Linked DNA regions of Callithrix jacchus. The main gene of each other region encodes a partner of the protein of the gene in region 2 in a complex. Links are inferred from orthologs where the notes say so. Each region holds a gene or a part of one and is shown on either strand. Other genes may lie near its edges. The genes, in order: SLMAP and SIKE1.

Region 1 (3,822 bases), on a different chromosome or scaffold from region 2:
AGTGCCACTGCATTCCAGCCTGGGTGACAATAGCAAAAAATCTGTCTCAAAAAAAAAAAAGATTGCAAGTAAAAATCTGTCAAAAAAAAAAAAAAAATATATATATGTATATCAAGTAATCTATGAAGTATTTTAGGCACCCCTAACCAGCTTGGGGGAAGGGTCTGTTCCACAGGTAAATGAGGAACTGGTGTTACACAGAAAAGTTAACATACTCTTCAGTTCTCATGCTACACACACAATATAGATATTATGGAGCACACATAACTCGGACAGTCTTTTCCTCCTTTCTTTAAAAAATAATAAAATATTTCCTTAAATCAGTAGCTGCCAAAGTTATCATTTTTTTCTCTTCCTTTTGAGGCTCAGGTTTCTTTCACTTCAAAACATATTCTTGAAGACTTAAGTTCTTCCTTTAAGAAAGATTTAATTATTTAACTCAGAAAGAAGGGGCAAAAAGTCAGGAGGTGAAACCTGAGACAGTCCTATTAGTCTTACATAACTTAAAGTTGGAACTGATTCAGTAGCTCGGCTAAAAACCTGAGGTTTAGGCACTAAGACGAGCTCTTTAGTATACTCTCCACAAACATAAATAGTTTTTAAAAATGGAAATGATCCTATCTTTTTTCTTCATTCTTAAAAGCTCATACATGTATAGTAAGTCATGATACTAACGCAAAAATGCTAAAAATGGTTACACTTAAAATGAAAAGCACTGAATTCATCCTATCACATTTAAGTAACACTATAATTGAAAGACTAGGGTGTAATTTCAGAAAATAAGTTCACTTCCTAACACTAACTTTTGCATAGCACCTCTGTAAGTATGCAATAAGTACTTAATAAGTGCTGCAGGGAACATCAAAAAGTGATTTTCAAATGCAATATATGTATGTGCAACCAACTTGTAAAAAAAACTCTCAATATATATAAAGTACAGTTCTCATGCTTAATTAAATTAGCTTTGATTATTGCAAATGATTCCTTCAAGAGCAAGTATATAGCAAACCTTTCAAAAATCTTAGGTTTACACCAGCAACTGTCCTTACTTAGAAAGGTCTTGATCTGAACTCAACTAAAGCTATGTGTTAACTACATTTCACCACAAAGACACCTGAGCACCAGGGTAATAATGGCCACGGATTCCCCGAATTGCTTTGAGAACTGCTGCTTGCTTAATAAAGAGCTGAACTGTGAATTCACCTTTCTCAACAGACTGAAAGCAAGACGCCAAGTTTCACAATCTAGTTTGGGATTTCTCTGGGAATGACTACGTTATCAAGATGCCATAGCTCTCCTGAGGCTTTTAATTACAATACCTTCTCTGTTTTCCATTCAACCACCTCAATCAAATTTCCACTAGAACCAGGCACACAAACAGTTGATTCCTGGCTTTGCGCAAAGCCTCCTGTGGATGCAAAGCCTGGGATCCTGCAAAAGTCAGGCCTTTCAGGGAGGGCAAAGGTGGGGTGGGGGAGGAGTTTGTTAAACAATGCAGTTGGACAATGTGGTGGTGACATTACCTTGCCTGTCTTGTGATCAAACCAGACGAGAGCGTGGTTCCTTGACAGCACTTTGCAATCAAAAGTGGCATTATTCTGCGCTGGTCGACAGCGGGCCACTGAACGGCCGATTTTGATGGGCTCGTCCAGGTAGACATGACGCTCCTGAAACGGGTGCGAGTTTGGGCGGCAAGTGAAGATGGCCAAGGCTGACGGCATCGAGGATAGGCTTGGGGTGTCTCTCCTACCAGGGACAAAGAGGAGTTCCTCCGGATCCGGGCTGCCCTTCACAAGCCTATACCCCTATCCCACCCAAAATTTTAAATTAAAACAAACTGCACATTGTCTATGCATAACCAGTGAACATCAACAACTCTTCACTTGGGTGGGAAGACAAGCCAGCGCAAGCCCCATCACCTCCTCCAAAACCCAGCAGTGCCCTAATCACGAAAAGTCCCCAACGGGCAGCTTTCAGTCCATCTTCCTCTCTGGGAAGAAACGGCTCAAACATCGGGCAGCTTCGGCCAAGAAAACTCCTGGAGCACAGTTTGGGGACTGGAGGTATCCAAGCAGATGAGTCACACTCCAATTCTTGTGTTTGGTTTGAGATCGCGGCCGCTTTTCCCCCTCGGTGGCGGAAACGCTGCAGCACTGCAGCATGAAGGAAGGGTCGTGGTTCGGCGCGGCCAGGAAAGTCCTTTTGGGCCGAAGGAAGGTGTGGCCGGGCACCTCCGGGCAGCCACCGCCCGTGCTCGCCCGGAGTGGAGGGCGAGAGGTGACGGAGGCGGAGGGGCTCTAAACGGCCGGCGGGACAGTCTGCATCGCCCCTGCTGCGCGGAGGCCGCCCCGGGAAGGGGGACTCGGTCCCCGGCGTGGCGAGGCGGCAGTGCCTGGGGTCCTCAGCGCGAGGCGTGGGGGCCGGCGGGGCGCGAGCAGTGGCCAAGTCGGGACTCCTGGGCACCTGGCGGGTGTCCCCGCGACCAGGGCGGGGACCCGGCTCCGCAGGCCGGTGCGGACCGAGCGAGGCGCGACACCGGGAGGTTCGGGTTCTCGGGCGGCAGGAAGTTGGTCCCCGGACGCCTGGGCTCCTGGTCGCCGCCGCTCAGCACATGGGCCGCCTCCCCTCAGGGTCGCCCCCGCGAGGGTCGCATCTCAGGGACAGCAGTCGCAGCTCCGGGCGGACGAGAAGGTGGGGGAGGGAGACTGGCCCGGAGGTTAGGGAGAGGCCTGGAGGCCCCGGGCTGGGTCCGCCGCAGCCTCCACCGATCACGGCCAATGGAGCAAGCTCAAGCTGCGCCGGACGAGGCAGGAAACTTTCCGACCTGGTGGGGAAAATATCAAAACAAACGGCCGTCAGGCGCCTCAGCCCGCCCGCCTCAGCCCTCGCCCCCTCCAGCCAGACCCCCGCCAGCTCCCACCGCTAGGCATGACCTCCGCCGACCTCTCCACAAGCGGGCTGCGAGGATTTGGAGGCAGGACGCCACGACGGGTTCTACCTCCCTAGCCGCCACCGCCGCCTCAGCTTACCTTGCCAGCGCCGGCCGCCATAGTGACTCTGACTGAAACCTACCGGGTACACCGCCACGGGAACGCGCTCCCTTCAAGGGCCCTCCTACCCCCTCTCCCGCGCCGTAGTCCAGGAATGTCACGTGAGCGACGCCACGGAAGCCGTGTTGGTCGAGGGCAGAAAAACGGGCAAGCTAATTTCTAACGCGCCTCTAGGCGCCATCTTATTTAAGGGCTGGAAGCTTCAAACCTCGGGACAACCACAACGACCATTTTCGTTAAGGGCAAGAACAATTCGCGCGCTAGAAGATTTTCGAAACAAACCGTGCCACCTTCTTATTTTATCTACTTGGAAAGGAGATGCCAACCTTTGCTAAATTTTATTCGCTTTAATCCTCGATGAAAATACTAGTGAGCAAAAAGCAGAGGCGGCCAAAGGAGATGGTCATAAGCAGCCATCTTAGCTGTGGGCAACAGAGTCGCCCGCAGCCACCTTAAGTGTGAGCAGCCAAATTCCCTCAAGTCTTAGGATGTTCGCCTAACCGAAGGACCATCCTCCCCTCTGCTAAAGTTTTCTCTGTGTTTTCTTCCCGGAAAAAAAACGCTTAGTTCCCGCATTACGCTTCGAAAGACAGCCCTTCTCACCGGACCTCGTATGTGCCCCAGGGCTCCTACGCGGATTCTTCCACAGAAGGAGCGTGCAGAGAGTTTAAAATAGTGTTGCTTCCAAAGAGAGATTGAACAATTTCCAAAACGAAGAAAGGGGGTACTGCCCCCACTTACTATCAAGATGAGGAGTCATTGGTCTAAAGAA
Region 2 (4,503 bases):
ACAGATTCTGTCAATCTGACTCTCAATTTCCTGTGGAGATATTAAGGAAACAAAGGTGAAAAAATCATTTGTTCTATAGAAATAAAGAACGTAAGAGTGTGTGTGTTATGATTTTTAAAAGTTCATTTAATCTATGTTACAGAAGTTACAGTGGAGTTTCACTACAATTTTAGTCCTCAGATATAAAGCCATAGTCAAGTGACCTTGTGGTATTCACAGATAATTTTTTTTTTTTTGAAAAATCAATTGTAGTTTAACTACCCATTGGATGTTGGATACTATCTCTAAGTGGCTAACTTAAATTTGAATACGTTAATTGGCAGGAAGCTTATTACATTTCATCTTTGGACATATCACTTAGAAAGTTTATCTATCTGAGTAAACTCTGTCTCTTTCAAGGTTCAAGTTTTTTCCTCCATAAGAGAAAAAATAAAATCTACTTTTCTATTCCAGATGAAAGCCATTCAAATATTTATAAAATATCTGTTTCCTAAAACTTTTAAGTCAGTAAAATGCATTCAATGGAGTTTAAGACGAAGCTTATCTTTCACTGCATCTCACAGTAGCATATAGTAGGCTCCAATCTACACATCTAGATTTAAATCATACAGTACACATGAATGTACAATGACATCTACGAAGCACCTACAAGCATAAGAATAATTACTGAGTCTCTCAAATTAGATCATAAGCAAAGTATAGAAACTATGCCATGCTTGTTTTTTTGTTTTTTTTTTTAAAAAAAAGCATACTTCTCTTCCCTAACAACATGGTATAATGCTATGTAGTTCAGTTTAAAAAATGTTTACTGACCGCCTGCTGTATGTCAGGTACTATGGTAGGAATAAAATATGAATTCATGCTCCTTACAACAAAGGAGCTTAAGTGAGATGTATAAAGAATAAGCAACCAAGTGTTTACTGGGCATCTTCAACACTAACTGGCATTATGTTTGGTGGGAGAGCTAAGAATTAATGAACATCTTCAAAAGAGATCTTGGTAAGGGAGGGGGTACCTTACTCCTACTCAAATAAAAGGACCTGAGCAGCCCCATCCTCCTCCTTTCTATTCATATCTTTACAAAGCCATGGCAAAATCAACAACAAACGTGATAAACATGAAAGGAAAACAAGCTTACTTTTCTTCAAAAACAAGCACACATGGCCAGGCACAGTGGTTCATGCCTGTAACCCCAGCACTTTGGAAGGCCAACGTAGATGGATTGCTTGAGCACAGGAGTTTCAAACCAGCCTGGGCAACACAGTGAAACCTCATCTCTACCAAAAACCAAAAAACCACATACACAAAAATTAACAGGGCATGGTGGTGTACACCTGTAGTCCCAGCTACTCAGGAGGCAGAGATGAGAGGATGGCTTGAGCCCAGGAGGCAGAGGTTGCAGTGAGCTGAGATCGTGCCACTGTACCTCAGCCTGGTCGACAGAGCCAGGCCCTATCTCAAAAAACAAAACAAAAACAAGCACACAATGAACAATCTCAAGATTTCAATTCAGTTCATTTCGAATTTATTCAAAGTTTCTTACTGCAGAGTGAGACTGGTGAGCTTTCAGGACTGGTTCGGCATCCACAGCTTTTTTAGCAACCATTAACTGTAACATCTGTTTCCGGTACTTGCTCATGATGAGTTCCAAAGCATCCTGGTGTTCCTCCAAGGAAACCCAGAGCTCTATCAAAAATAAAATAACTTGGCAGTGATGTCTGAGAGAGCGCTCCCATATCCAAAGTCTTAACAGTTGGAATTTTGTAACACTATAGAGATAATATGAATCCAAAGCTGTAAATCAGGGTTTAAGTCCACAAAACTGAACAGTTAAAGTCTATGTGAAAGATAACTTTCTAGGCAGAGAAGCAGAAACAACAAAGGATATGTCATCAGAAGACACGGGTTTGAGTTCAGTTCTGTAACTTGCTTCGTTAATACTTGTAAGTAAATCATTTAGCGTCTCTGAGTGTATTTCTTAACTGCATTGTAATAAATAGCTAAAAATGAAGATAGGAGAATACAGTAGAATGATACCTGTGAAACCCCGCTGGTAAACAACTAGTAATACTACAATTATTAATAATATACTAATCAAGCCGAAGAATATATACCCTTAAAATAACATTCTGCTGCTTCCCTTGCATGAACAAGAACATAAACAAAACCTTAAACCTTACCTTTAGTGTTTATTTTCATTAATACTTATTAAACATTAAAGTTTGCAAGAATTCAACTCTACTTAGCAGCTCTTTGGTAAGCTGCTACAAAATCAGTCAGATGATCTTGAAAAGGGTAATCTAAAAACCTTTGCTGTTACCGGGCCAGCACAGGAAGACTCGCCTACTAAAAGTACTGACCTGGAAATATATGTACATTTTTGTGAACGGTTAGGGCAATTCTGCAATACCTTTCAAACTATTACCAGATATGAAAAGGCCCGACTAACCTCTGTTTTCCTGCTGCAAGTCTCTAATCTGTGTGTTCTCTTGGGACAGCAGAATGTGAGGTTTGTATTTGGACATGTCCTTCATATCGGATGCATCCTCTTGATACTGGACAAACAGAGACAGACTAAGTAGAGAACAGCGGCAGATGCAACTGAAGAGGCAGAAATCAGCGCTCCGGGGCAGGTTTCTCAGCCCCGACCCAGGAAAAATGTCTCACCGCCGCCCTCTGAGACGCGGAATCAATTCCAGGCCGAGTTCCCACTTTACCTCGCTCTCCACCCTTCAGTGCCCAGAATCCGAGAGCACTGGACTCCTACCCTCTGCCTGACCTGATCCGGAAGCGCCGTCCCCGCCTCCCGCATAGAGGCTACCCGCCGGTGCAACGCCGCCGACTGATCCACCAGTGACTCAGCGGCCGCATCGTGCTCCCGCAGCCTCTCCAGCAGCGTCTTGGCATCTGTCAGGATCTTCTCGATGGTGCAGCTCATAGCAGCGGCACGACCCCACTGGACCTGCCGGGCTCAGCTACGCGACTTGCTGAGATCTGGGAGTCTGTCTCAGCATTACAAGCGTCACTTCCGGGCACGTTTAAAAGGTGTCTTGCGCCTGCGCAATAGCAGTCCCGTTTGCGGGTTTACCCGCTGGAACCTGTGGCTTCTTTGCAGTCCTGCCCAGCGCGGAGCCCCAGACCTGCCCTTGCCACGCCCTTGGTTTCCAATTCCCACAGCCTGCTGGTCAGGCCATGATTAACTGGGCAGTAGGAAGTTCTCCTTTCCCTACTGGTTTTCATCGATGTGGGTTGTTACTCATAGTTTTTATTTTCATTTAATTTTTAATTTAAAATTTTTGTTTTTTGAGACGGAATTTTGCTGTTGTTGCCCAGGCTGGAGTGCAGTGGCGTGATCTCGGCTCACTGAAACCCTTGCTTCCCGGGTTCAAGCGATCCCCCTGCATTAGCCTCCCAAGAACCTGGGACTACAGGCATGTGCCATCACATGCGGCTAATTTTTGTTATTTTTAGTAGAGACAGGGTTTCACCATGTTGGCCAGGCTGGTATGGAACTCCTGGCCTCAAGTGATCTGTCTGCCTCGGCCTCCGAAAGTGCTGGGAATATAGGCGTGAATCACCGCACCTGACCTATTTTCATTTAATTTTTTAAAAATCGTGGTAAAATACACATAAAATTTAATATCTCAGCCTTTTTTTTTTTTGAGATGGAGTTTCACTCTTGTTACCCAGGCTGGAGTGCAATGGCGCGATCTCGGCTCACCGCAACCTCCGCCTCCTGGGTTCAGGCAATTCTCCTGCCTCGGCCTCCTGAGTAGCTGGGATTACAGGCACGCGCCACCATGCCCAGCTAATTTTTTGTATTTTTAGTAGAGATGGGGTTTCACCATGTTGACCAGGATGGTCTCGATCTCTTGACGTCGTGATCCACCCGCCTCGGCCTCCCAAAGTGCTGGGATTACAGGTGTGAGCCACCGCGCCCGGCTATCTGAGCCATTTTTAAGCATACAGTTCAGTAGTATTAATAGCAGTACATTCACACTGTTATACAGCCACCATCAGCATCCATCTCTAGAACTCTTTCATCTTGCAAAACTGAAGTTCTGCATTATTAAACAGTAGCTCCTCATTCTTTCTTCTCCCCATCCCCTGGCAGCCACCATGCTACTTTCCTGAATACCTGACATGAGTGAAATCATACAGCATTTGTATTTATGTAACTGCCTTATTTCACTTAGCATTATGTCCACAAGTTTTATCCATATAGTAGCACATATTATATTTTCCTTCCTTTTTAAGGCTGAATAATACTCCATTGTATTGTATATTCTGCATTTTGTTTATCCATTCATCCAGTGGGTTGCTTCCATCTTTTGCTATTGTAAATAATGCTGCTATTGCAACTGGCTCACATCTGGCTGCTTGCTGTTTAGAGGCCAAAAACATGAGAAGCGAGGTGCGGTGAAACGAAAGCAGTTTTACTGATCACATGCTCGCAGATGGGGCGTGGTTAGGCTCATGCCTTCAAAACAGCATTCCGTTTTT

Evidence for each region.
Region 1: the proteins of SIKE1 (region 2) and SLMAP are in contact, whole or in part, in a crystal structure (PDB 6AKM), measured with the Homo sapiens proteins. The link is inferred for Callithrix jacchus from reciprocal best matches to the Homo sapiens genes SIKE1 and SLMAP. Residues at the interface, in NP_079349.2 of Homo sapiens: Ile5, Ile8, Leu9, Ala12, Lys13, Leu16, Leu19, Arg20, His22, Asp23, Ala26, Glu27, Leu29, Val30, Ser33, Ala34, Leu36, His37, Val40, Met43, Arg44; in NP_001291349.1 of Homo sapiens: Leu168, Tyr171, Leu172, Glu174, Ala175, Arg178, Glu179, Met181, Leu182, Lys185, Thr188, Leu189, Leu192, Leu193, Ile195, Thr196, Ala199, Ser200, Thr202, Ser203.

The regions. Positions count from the first base shown.
Region 1 is NC_133516.1:39,559,686-39,563,507, reverse strand, and holds the start of SLMAP (sarcolemmal membrane-associated protein), read right to left. Parts: upstream 2,076-3,822; 5' UTR 1,722-2,075; coding exon 1,524-1,721; intron 1-1,523. Other genes in the region: uncharacterized protein LOC144579547, read left to right, coding at 2,076-3,065. UniProt on the Homo sapiens protein: Associates with the striatin-interacting phosphatase and kinase (STRIPAK) core complex, forming the extended (SIKE1:SLMAP)STRIPAK complex.
Region 2 is NC_133508.1:152,760,311-152,764,813, forward strand, and holds the start of SIKE1 (suppressor of IKBKE 1), read right to left. Parts: upstream 3,016-4,503; 5' UTR 2,939-3,015; coding exon 2,768-2,938; intron 2,556-2,767; coding exon 2,450-2,555; intron 1,687-2,449; coding exon 1,544-1,686; intron 31-1,543; coding exon 1-30.